Linked DNA regions of Neodiprion lecontei. Each later gene encodes a partner of the first gene's protein in a complex. Links are inferred from orthologs where the notes say so. Each region holds a gene or a part of one and is shown on either strand. Other genes may lie near its edges.

Region 1 (5,613 bases):
AATTAATGATTTGGTACGTAATCTGAACAAAAATGACTTATTTGGCTTGTATTATACAAATTGGAAAAAATGCTCTAACATTTCTTTTCATGGATAATTCTGGTTTACCTCTGTATAGAACCTTATAAACCCACTAGAAAATCCAACGGCCATACAGGTCCAATCAGGACCGCTACCAGCACTGGTTTTGCCTAAAGATATAAGAGGTAGACATGCCAGACATGTTATCTGTTCACTGAAACAAAATAAAAGTTGTTGAATAACCCCAATCTGTGGTGGAATATCATTCTAGCCCAACGAAATTAGAAAAACTTACTTCTCCTCATCCGTTACATCTCCACTCCATGTAAGATGAAATTTCATTTTCACATCTCCAGGTTCATGCGAATCCCATTTTGCTGTATTGACAAACAGTGTGTGAAAAATTACAACGTTTACGGAATTAATTGTCGTTATTTGTATGAAATGAACTTTAATGCTTATAGTATAATACAGGCATATCAATCATTGGCTAGTATTAGAAAGATGTTAAAATTTTTGAATACTCAGTATTATTAAGTTTTCTACTATGCCGTGATGAAAAATTGAAAATATTTTAGGTCCAGTAATCGGCACCTTAATCTTGAATTTTAGACGTGATACTAGCAAGATAATGGTTGAAGATGGATCTAAAATTTATGAAGAACTTTACCGAGCTATTTGGCTTCGCAAATTGAATATATTCAGTTCACGTACTAACATTTTGTATATTCTTACTCTATTATTGCAAAAATATATATAGTATGACTTTGTGTCTCTTATGCTTACAAAATTTGTACTATTTAACGTTTTGTCGTTTGACACAGAATAAAGTTATATCTAGCCCAATTGTGGTGTGGAAACAGCTATGCATTTAAAAGGCTCTTGAAAGGCATTTTATTTTGCTTATACCTCTTTTTAATGTAGGGAAAAACTGTTCATATAAGCTCGTAAGCTAGAATGAGTTTGATAGGCTTATTCGAAAACATCACCGCTACTCTATTTGAGCTCTGCGATATAAGCTTGTCAAAAGCGGGGTAAGTTTTATTGAACTAGGAACTATCATCGATTCTGTGGATTTTATTTGTGTGTTTTTAAAAAGTTTATTTCGTATGAAGAATTCTGTGATTCTATCATCGGTAATAAATCAGATGCAGGTCGAGATGATTGTATCGCTCCTTTTGTTGTATAAGAAAGTCATCAAGAGGATGTTGTGGTGATAAGCAAAAACTTGTACTGTTGCTCAATGAGTTTTTGCTGTAAACTTACACGTCAGAATGACCATATTTTTATTCCAAGCAATTGCGAGGACATCCCCTGCTGGTGATAAGGAGATAATAAGATCTTGAAGAGGTAGTTCTTTATCCGGTACATAATCCACTGAAAGATTGGGTATAAATATGTAGATATAGATGGGTGTAACGTACATATTGTTTATTGGATAACCTTAGTGGTTACTGTTATTGATGACAGTTGAGATTTTAATTGAATGGGATTTTCTTACGTTTGGAGCCAGCATCTCTGAGTAAGGAATTCTTGACGTTGGGCAAATCGACCAAATTAGCGATTCCTTTGATTTGGCACGACATTTTCGTGCTGACACTTTATTATAAATATGTTGTTAAATGACTCTCATCTCGAATATGCATGAATATGCAGACTGTAGCGGAATAAAGTTTGATGGAAATTGACTGAAAAGTTAGTAGAATTGTCAGATCATATGACACGATGTTTCTGAGAATGCTAGTATATATTGCGGAATTTCAAATAACGCGTTCTAAGTTCCTTAAAAGAGAGGATAGATGCAGCGTACATTATGTCCGGATAAATTTTGGCGCGCGCCGAATAGAAATAAATACAATTTCGAAATATGATACACTTAAAAACAGAATCCTTCCGTAAATTTTTATTACAAGGTAAAAATGAGCACACGTGTTTCCGTGACGTCATGTGACGTCCACTGACGTCATACTAAACTATCGTTTATGCGATTGAGGATTGGTCGAAATTGGTGTAGCCTACCAATGGTGAACGTTGTTTCTCCGCATTTGTCGCGTAAAATTTTCGGCCATCTTGTTATTATTTTCGAAAATCTTTAGGTTGGGTTTCGCGACGACATAGTTGACGGGTTTGCTCGTATTATCGGTGGAAAAAATCACATGAAATTCGCATGAAACCTGGGGAAAGTAGGTTTGACGTACATCGGCCTCGGTGGGTATATTATTTTAGTGTATTTGATTCTGATAGTGGAAGAGAGAGAAAGTAGAGAGTTGGAGAAATGAGTGAGAAAGAGCGAAACTGCGAGTGTGTGGAACGAGGAGCGAGAAGTGTGTAGCGCGCGGGAATCGTCGACTTGTGTGTTTAGCCCTTTTGTGCTTGTGGTTAATTACTCTGAAACGTAACGACTGGCGAGAGAAAGAAAATAAAACGTCCTTTTTTTTACCCCGGGGACGGGAAGCTGTATGAAAGAGTTTATACGGTAGGTCAAAACCTTCAATCTCAAATCACCTTCGCCCAACGGGCAACGACGCAATGGAAAAACGGCAGCCGGGCTTCCTGGACGACCGAATTTACACTATTTAACCTAACTCCGGTAGTCGTCGTCGAGTCTCATTATGTTAGTATCGTTTCCTCTACTCATCCGATTCCACTCTAAATATTACACTATATTTCAAAATCCGAAATTCACATAACCTTGTTTGCGATTGTCAGATGTAGGTTAGGTCGGTTGTTCGGTCGGTCGCAGTGCGGTGACCTCCCCTGCGGCACGCTTCCTAGCATTTTTGGTTTTTTCCGTTTTTTCGGCACGTGGAGGAATCGGGCTCCTTGAATTCTCAACATTTGTTCGGAAAATTTATTTATCCCCAAATTAATCATGGCACATGATCCCCCCTCCCCTCCCTCCCCTTCCCAACTCTCTTCTGAATAGACAAAGTATACATCAAGCACCATCCCATTATGTATGGCATGAAGTTTAGAATAATGGATGCATCTTTTTTGAAGGTTCTTTGAGATTCAGATTTCAGAATTTCAGTGACTTTTTGGGCATGTTTCCTTAGCAAGATCAATTTCGATGCTATCGGTATCAAAAATTGGATGGAAACTAGGTGCACCAAGCATCGTACTTACAAATTTTTAAATCTTGTATCAGTAAATGAAAATGTTCTTAGATTGAGAGTTGTTGCGTTGAAATTTAATCTAAAAACAAGTAATGTATTGTCCTCATTGAATAAACAAACATACGTGATTACACATGTCGGGGCATGTGCTTAAACTTTGATATCTAATTTTAATTAATCATTGAGAAATCAATTCGAAAGTTAATGATGTTTTCATTATTTTTCTTTTGCTTATTTTGTTCTTAAGCACTTTGGAATCTTTCCATGTAGTCTCATATTTCAATATTATTGAAATTGTAATGATTGAACCGCAAGTGCATCATACTTCATGGCAAATATTGATCAGTTATCAAATTTGCTAACAAACGCTGTTTAAGTGCACACCGAAACAACTTGGGAACAACGTATTCTATAGCGGTCAATGAACATTTTTACATTGTAATTTTTGTTTATTTATTCTATCAAGCTGAAATTACGTTGTCAGACCATATGCTTCCGGATTTATCATAATTCGCAAATTTTCACATATATTCTAAAACCTGAGTTTTTGTGTCTTTCTACACTGCACGAGCTATGCTTAAAAATTATGTTAGGTAAAAAGAAACTCGAAAAAATTAGTCCCTCAGTTGGGCACTTTGTTTTTAGGTACCCATATGTAAATAAGATTGCCTAGGAAATATTGTTTGTTTAGAATGTTATGATTATAAGTTATCAGTATTCATTAAAATTTAGTTACCACAATTCTACTGTTTACATGCAACTGTTAGTCTCTATTTGATCAGCAGCAACCTCTAAACTAAAATATTTACTAGAGTCGTAGTGCAGGCTCATCACTGTTGACGCATTACAAGTAACAATGCAAATAATGATATTTTTTTTGTGTGCAGATTGAGTGTGTGAAAGCAAGGGTAATAAGTGAGTGCAATGGCGACACTTGCAGAGCAAGCGTCCAAGTTATTGGACTTCAACCAAAAGCTGGACATCACGCTCCTGGATAATATAGTCGGATGCATGTATACTGGGGTTGGTGAACAACAGCGTGTTGCTCAGGAAGTGCTAACCACCCTCAAAGAACATCCAGATGCGTGGACACGAGTTGACACCATCTTAGAATACTCACAGGTGAGTTATGCCAATTGTAGAGAAAACTTTGACCATTGAATGAAAAGTGTGAAAATCTTTTTATTCAAGTAATCATTTCATAATCAACAGCCGTCAATGTAGAGAGACATGGTCATGCCTTCCACTAGCATCACCATAAATGATTTGGTTAATTCTGTAACTCTTAGCTGAAAGTTATTCACACCAAATTTAGCACCGTTGCCTTTTTGGTCTATTTGACATCAATTACCAAATAAAAATAATTCCCTTCAATTTTTCATTGTATTGCAACAAAGAAAAATATCAAATTATTATAGTTAGCCATTTAAGTTGGTGATTTCGAAAATTTAAAATTGATTGCGAAATTCTATAGACCAGAAAGTAAGAAGAGTATCAATTTATTTTTTTTGGATAGTTGGAATTTATTTTAGACAAAGAAAAAAGTTCAGCTGCACAGAATTAATAGTTCTCACTAAAGTTAACATTTTGGAATAAGTAAACTTCAGAATAAAAGTGGAAACCTTCAGCATCTAATTTTTTTCAGTGGTTCTAACAATTTGTATAAAATTTCAATCTTGAAACAGTTGAATCAAGATAGAATTAAATTACGAGTTCTGAAAAACCTCAAAACTCTGAAAGTTTAGTATGATCATGTCAATTTCACAGTGATTTAAAAAAAAAAAATGGTCATTATGATGTTCATTTTTCTCTCCGAAATAAAGAATCTTGAATGAACAGAGTATGTGAATGAAACAGGAATGCGTCTAACTTTTTCATTAATTCTTTAGAATCAACAAACAAAGTACTACGCACTACAGATCTTAGAGCAGGTTATCAAGACACGGTGGAAAGTTCTACCAAGGAATCAATGTGAGGGTATTAAAAAGTATATTGTCGGGTTGATCATCAAAACTAGTAGCGACCTGGAAACAATGGAGGCCTCTAAGGTCTACTTAAACAAGCTGAATATGATCCTTGTGCAGGTAATAATTGAAAAAAAATAAAATAAAAGAAAACTGTTTTCTTTGCGGGAATACTTATTATCACTATTTAACACGTGATGCTGATGTTTAGGTTCTAAAACGAGAATGGCCAAAGAACTGGGAATCCTTCATAGGTGACATTGTGGGTGCCAGTAAAACCAACGAAAGCTTATGTCAGAATAATATGGCTATTCTGAAACTTCTCAGCGAAGAAGTGTTTGACTTTTCAAGTGGTCAGATGACGCAGACAAAGGCTAAGCACTTGAAGGATACAATGTGTAGCGAGTTCTCTCAAATATTCCAGCTTTGTCAATTTGTCATGGACAACTCACAGAATGTTCCTCTAGTTGCTGTTACCCTCGAAACTCTTCTCAGATTCCTCAACTGGATTC
Region 2 (5,660 bases), on another chromosome or scaffold:
TTTCAAGGTTCACGTTAATTCTACTTATGTGCTACTTTGAGACCTGATGTTAAATCAGACCTAATATGTCGTGAAACGAATTTTGTAGTATTCAATCTAGCCAATCATACAGAACATACAATAAGTAGTAAGTACTCTGATGTTACTAGGGTGGTTCTTGAAACGAATTTTGTTGAATTTTCACGGAGCCTTCGCCTAAATCAGTTCCAAATAAATATATCAAAATCATTTCAAAGCACGAATCTATATCGACTACAAACCTCGGGCAAGGGGATTGAATTGCACCATTTAAAAGATATGGGGTTTTCCATGCAAACTCAGTTAACGTTTGATCGTGACATTTTTTAGTACCATTCAGGATTTTTCCTACATTAGTACGATCTCTGAAAACCTTCCAAAAAACCTTGAAACTTTTTTTAATCACGGTAGTCACCTATGAATTTTTAATCCCATCTCAAAAATACCCTAATTGATTTTTGCAAACTAAGGAAAACAAACATTCCGCTTTCAAAGTAAAACAATTTCACCCAGATTCAGAGTGGAAGTGCATTTTTTTTTCGTTTTTGTGAAATTGTGTTTTCTAGTTTAATACCTGTTTAAAATCTATTACAATCCATGTATTCGCATCTCTGAATGACTACTGATTTTTTAAAATTCTTTTTCCAGTCCTAAAACACTCATTATTTTTTTCAAAATTTTATAACAGAATTTGAACAGGAACGAATAAATGACCCTATATGCGATTAGAATATAGTACAAGTGTGTAATAGAGTTGCACTGGTGCAAGGATACAGATGCGGGTCAGTGCAATTACTTGCATTTATTATCATTTAGTCAGTCACGTACCTGAATCAGTTTTTTTAAGAACAAATAATAATTCTCCTCCGAGTTATTTGGTCCTGATGGAGGCGCAGGCATTGTCGCAGCACTGTAAATGCATCGCAAAGCCTCTTCAGAATAAAGAATCATCAATTGCTTCCTGTCTTCCGCTTTACCCTTGCGATTAACAATCTGCAACAGACACTCTGCAGCTGGGCATTGGAATGTTGGGTTGCCGAGCAGTACACAAAGGATTTGCAATAACCGACCATCTTCTGCCATCACGTGAGCTATCGACACCCATTCCACAAATCCGGTCAAGGTAAGCAGAACAACCTGAAAACACAATGAAGTGATAAAACAACTTTTATTTGTTGCTTTTTGCCAAGAACACGCGAATTCCGAAAATGACGCAAGGGTACGTTTGAGAAATGACTCAACCTCAGAAAAGTGAAACTGGTTTGTATCAGTTTAGTTACCTGGACAACTTTTCCATGGGCGGTAGCTTCATTTACATGGCCCAAGCTGTTTGCTTCTTGGAACTTTGTAAAATGTTGTTCGATCAGTCTTAAGAAGAAGGTAAATATTTCTGCCATGTTGGTTGTCAATGCCTGATATATATCTTTTCTTCTCTGGTTTGACTCCAATGTTTGCAGTAGAGCAACATCCTCAACCAGTCTCAAAAACACCAGCAGTACCAGTTCTGTTTGGCTTTCGCCTCTGGTACAGGCATGGCTGAGCTCAGCCAAAAGTGTCGGCCACTGCTGCGGCCATTCCCGTTTGATCATTTCCACAATCACGCGGGATAAGGCATCTTTTATGTGCGTTTCTTCTTGCATAAACGGTTCCGTACCGTCTTGCAGTAATTTCATGGCATTCTCTTTGATAAATAACTTTTCGGGCTGTGACATCTGGGTCCACCGGTATTTCACACAGTGTTCCATCAGCTGTAGCCCAAAATGTCGCACGACCGAACTGCTGTTTACATATTTCTGAGCAAGGAATAGGCCACACTGGGCGCACAGGGGAGATGATTCTTTGAAACGTTCACATGCCGCGTAGGCTTCGAGGCGCTGTTCGTGTGGTATGCCAGGTGACATCATCACCTCGACGACTTGAGCTAATTCAGCCGATATCTGGGCAACATCCCCCACGCCCGCGTCCATACCTCCTTGGTTAAAGCACCAAAGGCCAGCTACTTACTTGCCTGCTACTGTAAAGAACATACCTGTGATACCTCAATAGCTTTACAAGCAGTTGCATGAAATGATGCAACAATCACTCTAAATTTCTAATGCTCCATTGTTTGCTCGCAATTACTTCTGACTTATCTAAATAAATAGGTCAATTCTCAAGAATAGAGTGGAACCTCATTTATCGAAGTCTACGTCATCTAGTTTCGCGATTATTCGAGTTCGTCTCATCGGCGACAGACACGAATATCTGCTGTTTCTAAGTGCTAATAAATATATAAGTCTATTGCAGTTGAACTTTATTTTTGTAATGCGTTCTTTCCGAAGACGTGTGTATTTGTTTGTATTTATAGTCATTGTTTAATGTTTTTGATTTAATTTAAACACACATGTCTGTTTGTTAATAGAGAAAATCGTCATTAATATTTAACATTTCTTAAAAATGTATTATTTCTTTATTTCCTGCTATCCGAATGTTTTGATTATTTGAGCTAGGATGAGTACACAACGGCTTGGATTAGCAAGATTTTGCTGTATAAATTACATGGCAATAGCGATCAAGGTGATATTTATTTACCTTTCATACCTTAGTAAACTAATTTAATTCACAATGCTGTTAAATTTCCTGAAACACACTCAACGAGTTGAACCTACATACTTATGACTTGACGCTCAAATTAAATTTCATTGCTCATTCGAGTGGTTCAATTTTACTCGTATTCACTTCATGCATACTGGGCAATAAAACTTGCAACTATATGTTTCTGTTTCATATTTACTAAAGTATGAATCCGTTTTTACGTTCACACAAAGTAAAAGACACACATGCTGTTACTTCCAACCCGCGTTAACAACTGACTCATGACTTCGTTGATGCTGATATCATATGTACACAAATATTCTATATGTACATTCGAAGATATCATGAATTTGATCGGTGGAAAATTTTTGGCTTCCTCGCCGTTTGAAAAAAAAAATAGTCAACGCGGGTCGAAGAGTCTATAATGCAAATTTCAGATAAATCTGGCTAAATTGGTAAGAACGATCGTCTACAGAGAACACGCACGATACACACGCCGCCGACCATGCCTTGACAGGTACCAGGAAACAATGAATATTACCTGAAATGTCGTGCGCGTTTTCGGCAAGCTAAGTTCAAGAATTCCTCTCGCACTCCGATGAACAAGACAGGATAACAGTCCAAATCACGAATAACATTACTATTGAGAAAAAATTGATAATTACCCCAAATGATCGTTCCGCGATGCGGCTCGCTAACGGCTGGACGATGCGTACTCGCATGTGGTGCCCCCTACGGGCGAGCTGTGAAGTTTCAATTTTAAATCACCGACATAACACCCCGCTGGGATTACGCCGAACGAAAAGGTAGGGTTAGGTTAGTTTGGTTTTCAGCTGGATTATCCGCAAGTACACAGAACGTTGTGCCGTGTCGTCCTTCTACGTTCACGGCGATTTACATCTGAGATCTGCAAATGGGAGGATAATATAAACCAATGTACTTTGAGCTGACCTTATTCGGCTTGTCTCTTGGCTCCACGAGGCTGCGTCTGACCCAACCTAACCTAATCTAACCTACCCCAACGTACCTGAAAGCCCGCGTGAGAGGCATAACCTCGTAAATACGCGTCACGCCGTAGCTCGCGTCAAACGATAGAGCAAACCGTCTCGCCTTGTCTGAGGAATTATTGCGTGTGATTTGTGACAAACATTCGGTACAGAATAGCGCAGTGTTACAGCGGTAATGGACGAAGCTATCGTAACACCACCCACCTATAAGCTGAACTTTTCCGAGCAGATTTATTGCGTCGAGTTGTCACCCTATGAATGGTCGCAACGTTTGATTTGTATTGCTCTCACCGGCAAGATTACTATCGGGATTGTAAAGTTCCAGGTACAGATTCGTATTACCATGGCTGCACAGAGCCGAGCCCTTATCAATTCCATTGCTGTATGATTTCATTTTTCTAATACGCAGGATGAGGACGACGATGTTGAAGACATCGATTACTGTCCAATTCGAACGTTTCATCACGAAACGAGAGCAGATGCGCTTTCCTGGAGTCCAGAAACCTCCCTGAGTGTTGTACCAAAGGTCGTAGTCTTCTGTGTTGCTGGGGCAGATTTTAAGATACGGTTGTACAATAGTAATTTAAACGACATCAATACATATCAAGTGAGTCGCATTGTTGGTATTTATTTATCTTTGTTTTGCCATTCCTCTCTCCAGTTACGTGAGCGTGAGAAGAAAAATTAATTGTTCAGACTTGCTGTTGGCTTAGTGTGTAACACGGAATTGGTCAAAATGGGAATTTTTTTTTTTATACAATACGATTTAGATAAGTTTAAATGATTGCAGCCCTTTTTCTGCTATTGCTAAAGTTGGAAAAAAAACACAGCCACACCAACTCACGAAGTAGAGACTATGCTACAGACTTCTCACCTTCAGCGTAGCTAGTGCATGATTCACATATAGTTATCCTGGCTGAAAATGCAACAAAAAAAGAAAAAACCACATAAATACAGACTACTACCTAAATCAGATTTTCCGTTTAGGTTACTCATAGTTAAGCAAAGTTGTAACTGATAGGTTCTAGATGGGCACACAGATTACATCAATTCGATCTCCTACGAGCTGGAAGGTGATATTCTGGCCTCAGTCTCCGACGATCATACCTGTAAATTGTGGGACACCAAAGAGGAAAAAAGATGTAATATTACATTTTATCTAACATCTCCAGGCATGTCTGTATGCTGGCACAAAGAAGAAACTGGCAAGTTGTTAGTAGCTGAAAAAAATGGATCAATACGAATGTACAACATTATAAGCCAGCAGGCGATATTGTCTCTTGACACTGGTGTTACACCCCTTATGTCTGCTGATTGGGGGGCAAATCCGCTGAAGGTTGCAGCTATGGCGGCTGGTGAGCTACTAGTTTGGGATGTATCCAGACCCAGGTACGATACTTGCTGCTTATGAATTCACTCTTTACGAATTTTAAAACTTGTTTTTCACTAAGAGATATCTCATCGTTTTCAGCCGGCCTATGGAGTCCCGACCCTTGCACGTGGAAGGAGGCCAGATGATCAAGTTTTATCCAGCTGTCGAGTATTTACTTGCCAGCATTGGCAGGCCTGATAATGAACTTAAAGTGATAAATTTGAAATCCAAACAAGTAGTTCTTACCAGTCGCTTGAAGCTCGTCGGCGGAATGAGCTGGCATCATAAGTTACCCTTCATCTGCGCAGGCAATGACAGAGATCTCTGTTTTTGGAAATTGAATCTGAAGTAACTTGCTGGACACACCAATCATCTGTTGGAAGTTAAAATTGCGGATTCTCTACATGATGGTGACTTGCAAATTGACATAAAGTAGCTGGAGGAACTGATGATATTCAGGGAAAAAAAGTGTCGAGTTTCACGTTATTTTTTAAAAATTATATATAAAATGTAATTAAAAAAAAGTGACAGAACATTGCAAAAGATGTCAGGATGACAATCTATGCCAAAGGATGGATGACAGGGTGGATCAACGACGGTTTCTGAATTTTTCAGAATATACCCAAGATTAGTGGGTGGGTGAATCCAATATGCGTAATATGAGATACATGATGAAATATGTCGTGTGA
Region 3 (5,817 bases), on another chromosome or scaffold:
GATATGGAATCGTATAATTACGACTCTGGCCACTCGGATCAGCGCCAAGACGGCTAAAAGTGTCATGGCCTTTTCCGGTTCACGCTTGCCGCAACGAAGACGTGAATAAAGGTGAGGGTATTTCGGGTAAGAATAAATGCTAATCTGAGTTCCGTTTTCGATTCATCGGAAAGCCAAAGACCCGCGTTGTGCAAGCGTGTTAAAAAATGTTTCGCTGGATGTGCCATTTAATCGTCTAAATACCGACAGGCGCCGCATGATCTTACCCAGTGAATCGCTCGAACCATGTGGTGTTTTTGATTTTCGTTAAATGTCGCGTGAGGGGCTTATTCGATTTATACTTTGAAGTTCCGAGAGAGTGAATACGACTTAGATACTGAATTATACGCCCTGGCCTGCGCAAGCACGTGCACAAGATTTAAGAATAAAACTGATTTTTCTAACCTGTTTTCTAATTATTTATAAAGCGACGTTCTCGTTTTAGGTGAACCATGGCGGATATAGAAACGTTCGACGATGTCGTAGTAACGAATTTGGAGGCTCTGCCGGTCGCTCTGTCCGCTGAGTTGCCAGAGATCAAATTGTTCGGTCGGTGGAACTGCGATGACGTTCAGGTCAGCGACATGTCCCTTCAGGATTACATTGCGGTCAAAGAAAAGAACGCAAAGTACCTGCCACATTCTGCCGGTCGATACGCTGCCAAACGTTTTCGCAAGGCGCAATGCCCCATTGTTGAGCGGTTGACCAATTCTTTAATGATGCATGGTAGGAACAATGGAAAGAAACTCATGGCTGTCAGAATCGTCAAGCACGCCTTTGAGATCATCCATCTACTCACAGGCGAAAATCCTCTGCAGGTAATATTCATTTCACATTCATCATTCTAATTAATATGATTCAATAAATTGGAAAATCATTGGATGGGTAATTTTCTCAATCAAATATCAATATGGATAACTGACCCGCGATGCTGAAGCTGGCAGCAAAATGTTGTAATGTTATTCCGAATAAGGTAGCAAAGTTCGAAAATCAAAATTGAGTGAAATACCTTGAATCCCCGATACTATTATAGAATTATGCGATTAAAACCAACCTGCGGTTTTCTATTTTCCAAAAAACGTTCAACACATTTGCTTGCTAACTCTGGTTGCTAGATTCAGCTTCATAAATTATCGAATTAGCATTTTTCAAAGCTACAATTGGAGTTGACGCCGTTGGATTTGATCACATCAAAATCTGTAACTTGAAGCAAGTTGAAGCTGACCTTAAATCAAAGAATTATTGTTTCTTAATTTGAACTTGGTTTTTCAACACATATTCATGGGCTTGTGTTATTCCTATTGCTTTAAGTTGCATTGCTTAAACCTTAACTTTATAATTTTTTTCTTATTTTAAAAGTAGCACAAGTTTATGTCACACATTCCTGAATTATTTGACATGTAAACTGTGTACAACATATTTCTTAGTTGTCAATACATAACATTCAGAATTGAACATTCTCGGAGAAAATTAAATAATGATTGCTCAAACTAGTATGTATACAGTATTTCCAAATAGATGCTCAGCGAAGGATTTTCATTATATTAAATAATGTGGATTTAACGTTACTCTTGGACCAAAGATATCATTTCAACAATAATTTTGACAGCGCAGAGTCACTGCTGTAAAATAAAGAAACTATAATTTCAAGTGCAGCAAAGGCACATTAATTGTTTTTAAGTTTTATTTCATGCTTATCTATTAAACTTTAGGTTCTGGTGACTGCGATAATAAACTCTGGACCTCGTGAAGATTCAACCCGTATTGGTCGTGCGGGTACGGTGCGTCGTCAAGCGGTTGATGTGTCACCACTGCGACGTGTAAATCAGGCGATCTGGCTATTGTGCACGGGCGCGCGTGAAGCAGCTTTCCGAAACATCAAAACAATCGCGGAATGCTTAGCCGATGAGCTAATCAACGCAGCGAAGGGATCATCAAATTCATACGCCATCAAGAAGAAGGATGAACTTGAACGTGTCGCCAAATCCAACCGATAAAACGGCACTTACTTTATGCTGTTTGTGTCTATCAAATTTTTATTGAGTATCAGACACCTGCGGTTGTTTAATAAATAAATAAAAATCTCAAAAAATACAAGGTTCGATTATTTACATGAGTTACTATATCAATAAACGCTGTTCCCCAGCAATCGTAGACTAATCCAAACAATTAATAGCCAATACGTATAGAAGCTATTTGGATGATTCTTGGGAGTAAAAATCAAAACCCGTTATCAAGGATCAATTTTAAATTAAAACCGATTTTTCGGAATGTATGTACATTTGCTTGATTCGCGATCATTTCAAAAAAGGCCCCAGTTTTCGAAATTCTGCGACCGCTGAATATCGTGCGAATAGCTCACTTAGCTGGACGTAGTTAGTAAAAAAATCGCTTGTCGCTGATAGTCAAACAGATGCCCGGTCCCATATTTGCATAGAGTAGGCCATCTATGTGAGCACGTAGTCTCGGGACTAGATATAAAATCGACCCTGGGTCAGTTTCCCGCGAATTGGTATAAAAGTGGTTGTGGCTGGCGGCTTTGTTTTTGTCTAGTATTATTTCATCAGTATATGAAATAAAGTGTTATCCTTCTACTCTGTAACAGCACGATCTAAACTAGCTACTGATTTGTGGCGGTTCATTTGCTAGTGATTTAAAACTAACATCAACATCATGACCACGTTCAATCTAACCGAAATACAAGAACAGCTAAACAAAGCCAGTGAAAAAACTCCTGAAAGTGGTGTTTCGTTTAATGGAAAATCACTGAAATTAAACAGCGAAGCGGACGGTAAGTCGAACCCTCTTCATACTCAGCTTTAAACAAACCAATTATCGTTCACGTAAAAGTCCGCGTCATCCTCGATGCTCAACGTGCTGCTTCACATAACCAAACTTTTATCAGACGCCGGTTCTCTCAGCGAACTCTACCTACCCTTTTATCTACCCAAAATACCTCAATCACACCAAATTTGACCCATTTTTATTAAATAATCACATCTGCTCACTTTCTGTGTTTTTAAAGCTGAGGAAGTCGTCAAAGCAATTGAACAATGTCAGAAATTGGATTACCTCGACTTGGAAGGAAACACGCTTGGTCCCGATGCGGCCAAGGCAGTGGCAAAGGCTTTGGAAGCGAAGGGTTCTTCGCTCAAACGAGCCCTGTGGAAAGACATGTTCACAGGGCGGATGAAGACTGAGATTCCTCTTGCCCTGGAATATCTAGGTACAGGACTATGTGCAGCCCAAACTCGCCTTGTCGAGCTTGATCTCAGTGACAATGCGTTTGGCCCTGTCGGCGTTAAGGGGTTGGCCACGCTACTCAGCTCTAGCGCATGTTTCACTCTACGTGAACTCAAACTGAACAACAATGGACTTGGAATAACGGGAGGAAAAATGCTAGCCAAAGCTCTTCTAAATTGTCATGAAAATAGTTCTAAGGAAAACGGTAATAATGTTTGGCACTTCGGTGTTTTACATTTATATAAAAGTTGATTTAAAATTTATCTCACTTGCTTACAGTGAATTGTGATTTTTTTTGTTTGCTTAAGTAGGAACAGCACCATTGGCCTTGCGAGTCTTCATTGCTGGACGAAACAGACTAGAAAATGATGGAGCTGCAGCACTGGCTGAGGTGTTCACAAAGCTGACTACCCTGGAAGAGATATCGATGCCACAAAATGGGATTTACCACAAAGGGATAGCTGCTCTAGCACAAGCGCTCTCCGTCAATCCAAGATTGAAGATTTTAAACCTCAACGATAACACAGTTGGGCCAGAGGGAGCACGAGCTCTAGCAAAATCCTTACCGAACTTGCCAGACCTGGAAAAACTTAATCTTGGAGATTGTTTGCTCAAAACACGGGGAGCCTCAGTGCTGGCTGAAGCACTAGCCAACGAAGGCGCACACCGCAATCTGATGGAATTGAATTTGAGCTTTAACGAAATAGGCGCGGCTAGTATCGATGCAATAGTAGCGGCCGTTGCGGATAAGCAGGAATTGACGAGCTTAGTACTTGATGGCAACGTTTTTGGTAGCAAAGGAAGAGAAAACTTAGAAGGAGCACTTATTGCTTCGCAAAAACTATCGGTTCTTGGGAGTCTTGAGGAGAATGAATCTGAAAGCGAAGGCGATAGCGAAAGTGGAGAGGAAACTGAAAGTGAGGACAGCGACGATGAAAACAAGACTTCTGAAGTAGAAAAGGAAGACGATCAAGAGATATCAAAGATCGAAAAGGATAAACAGAACGTGACGGTTCAGGACTTTTTGAAAAATCCAACTGCTGAAAACCTTCTCCGACTTCAAGGCGACAAAATACAGTTGTTCTTGGAACACGCTAAGGTATGTGCATGCATCACATCCATATCACTATTTTTTCCATTTCTGTTCAGTTCTTCGCGATTTTTTTTTAAAACTTTAAAATCATTCTGTAAATTTTCAGAGTCAGTCTGTAAACGGACACGAATCTCAAAAAGAAACATATGCTGAAGTGCTTATTAGATCTATAATGAAGGTTTCTTCGTTGTGTGCTAGCGGCTATATGGATGCCAGAATAGAGGCAGAACGAGTGACAGACGGGCTTTACATGGAATTGTTTGCATATGCGACAAAAACTGACCAAGTTTCCCAACTAAACAATGTTTTTCTGATTAATTTGGGCTTGATTAAGGTATTTCATATAATATGTGATATAGCAGATATTTTTTGATGTAGAAGAGAAGAAAAATACTTGGTAAATGGATCCAAAATTTAATACAATAATTTAATTAAATTTCAGAGTGAGGATAAAACTGCTGGTAGAATTGATTGGAATCTCGAGGGATGCTTTAAAGCATTGGAGAAAATAAGCACCAAGGATTATTTTCTAACAGAGACTAGGAATGCCCTAAAAGTATTCATTGAACTACCAATAAAAACTGGAAAAGTCAGGGTAGACCCATTTCAGAACGTTAAGGCTTCTCTCAAGAAGGTTCTCGACCAAATATGATTGAATTAAATTAGTCTGATGGCGGAATGATTCATATATTTCCTGTACAAAACATTAAATATTTATTAATAATTCGTAAGAATTTATTTTTATACATTAGGCATTGTGGTTTTATGGTAATAGGCACGCGGTTGATTATCAGTGAACCAGTGGTGAGAGATGGTAGCGATAATACGCCGCGAAATCAATAATTAATTTATATAGCAATGTGCCCTAATGTACTGAATTTTGGCAGCAGATTTTTATGCTGAATGCGACGTCAAAAATACGTATGTTTTAATTTAACAATTTTAATTGTCATTCAATTTAAATTTAAAATACAAGCTTTCAGCCTCATTGCATGACTGTAACACTATTTTTTTAAACGGATATTAACGATTTTACAGATTAAAACATGTAAGAAACAAAGAAATTTTTCAATTGCTCAATTCGTCGTGATATCGGCATTTGTAACATGATACTACAACTTATTTGGGTAAAAAAAAGTGTTTTGGCTTATTGTTGAACTACGACATTTCCTACTATGTTAATTTATTCCGACTACAAGCTTTAAAATTCAAAAAGAATTATACTGCACAATATTCTTTTTTCTCAGAAAGTCCAAAAATGAACATGGATGAGGATTAATTAATTACATTTTGGTCATTTATCACTACTGAAATATATTTATATTATCTATATCTGAACACAGTGAAATCACATCACATTTTCTCATCGTACTCTATTGTATAAAAATAGTATGTGTAAATTTCTTTTCCTTAAAACTGAACATCTAATTGAGCTTGGATAG

Evidence for each region.
Region 2: exportin-1 (region 1) and exportin-5 share a complex: the UniProt entries of both Homo sapiens proteins name them as parts of the nuclear export receptor complex. The link is inferred for Neodiprion lecontei from reciprocal best matches to the Homo sapiens genes XPO1 and XPO5.
Region 3: the proteins of exportin-1 (region 1) and ran GTPase-activating protein 1 are in contact, whole or in part, in a cryo-EM structure (PDB 9B62), measured with the Homo sapiens proteins. The link is inferred for Neodiprion lecontei from reciprocal best matches to the Homo sapiens genes XPO1 and RANGAP1. Residues at the interface, in NP_003391.1 of Homo sapiens: Lys245, Ser248, Thr249, Tyr252, Lys253, Glu281, Gln282, Val284, Thr285, Leu289, Met292, Gln293, Gln296, Arg340, Asn342, Leu343, Lys514, Val518, Ile521, Lys522, Leu525, Glu529, Arg532, Lys534, Lys537, Ala538, Ala541, Met545, Phe554, His558; in NP_001265580.1 of Homo sapiens: Ala2, Asp5, Ile6, Leu9, Ala10, Thr12, Leu13, Ala14, Thr16, Gln17, Val18, Ala19, Gln22, Leu23, Ser24, Phe25, Lys28, Glu44, Arg55, Ala561, Thr564, Lys565, Pro566, Ser568, Glu571, Ser572, Ser574, Phe575, Arg577, His578.

Annotation. Positions count from the first base shown.
Region 1 is NC_060262.1:35,772,287-35,777,899, reverse strand, and holds the start of exportin-1, read left to right. Parts: upstream 1-2,092; 5' UTR 2,093-2,229; intron 2,230-2,246; exon of another isoform or gene 2,247-2,497; intron 2,498-4,024; 5' UTR 4,025-4,061; coding exon 4,062-4,259; intron 4,260-5,026; coding exon 5,027-5,221; intron 5,222-5,312; coding exon 5,313-5,613. Other genes in the region: rab3 GTPase-activating protein non-catalytic subunit, read right to left, coding at 109-235, 317-398, 1,288-1,398, 1,523-1,607. UniProt on the Homo sapiens protein: Mediates the nuclear export of cellular proteins (cargos) bearing a leucine-rich nuclear export signal (NES) and of RNAs.
Region 2 is NC_060265.1:3,219,266-3,224,925, forward strand, and holds the start of exportin-5, read right to left. Parts: upstream 3,379-5,660; 5' UTR 3,258-3,378; intron 3,238-3,257; exon of another isoform or gene 3,134-3,237; intron 2,033-3,133; 5' UTR 1,986-2,032; coding exon 1,299-1,985; intron 1,156-1,298; coding exon 847-1,155; intron 1-846. Other genes in the region: nucleoporin Nup37, read left to right, coding at 3,775-3,924, 4,009-4,206, 4,621-4,988, 5,071-5,323. UniProt on the Homo sapiens protein: Mediates the nuclear export of proteins bearing a double-stranded RNA binding domain (dsRBD) and double-stranded RNAs (cargos). XPO5 in the nucleus binds cooperatively to the RNA and to the GTPase Ran in its active GTP-bound form.
Region 3 is NC_060261.1:1,574,888-1,580,704, reverse strand, and holds ran GTPase-activating protein 1, read left to right. Parts: upstream 1-2,534; 5' UTR 2,535-2,712; coding exon 2,713-2,830; intron 2,831-3,064; coding exon 3,065-3,487; intron 3,488-3,590; coding exon 3,591-4,381; intron 4,382-4,481; coding exon 4,482-4,709; intron 4,710-4,817; coding exon 4,818-5,027; 3' UTR 5,028-5,106; downstream 5,107-5,817. Other genes in the region: 40S ribosomal protein S5, read left to right, coding at 492-857, 1,752-2,036. UniProt on the Homo sapiens protein: GTPase activator for RAN. Converts cytoplasmic GTP-bound RAN to GDP-bound RAN, which is essential for RAN-mediated nuclear import and export. Mediates dissociation of cargo from nuclear export complexes containing XPO1, RAN and RANBP2 after nuclear export.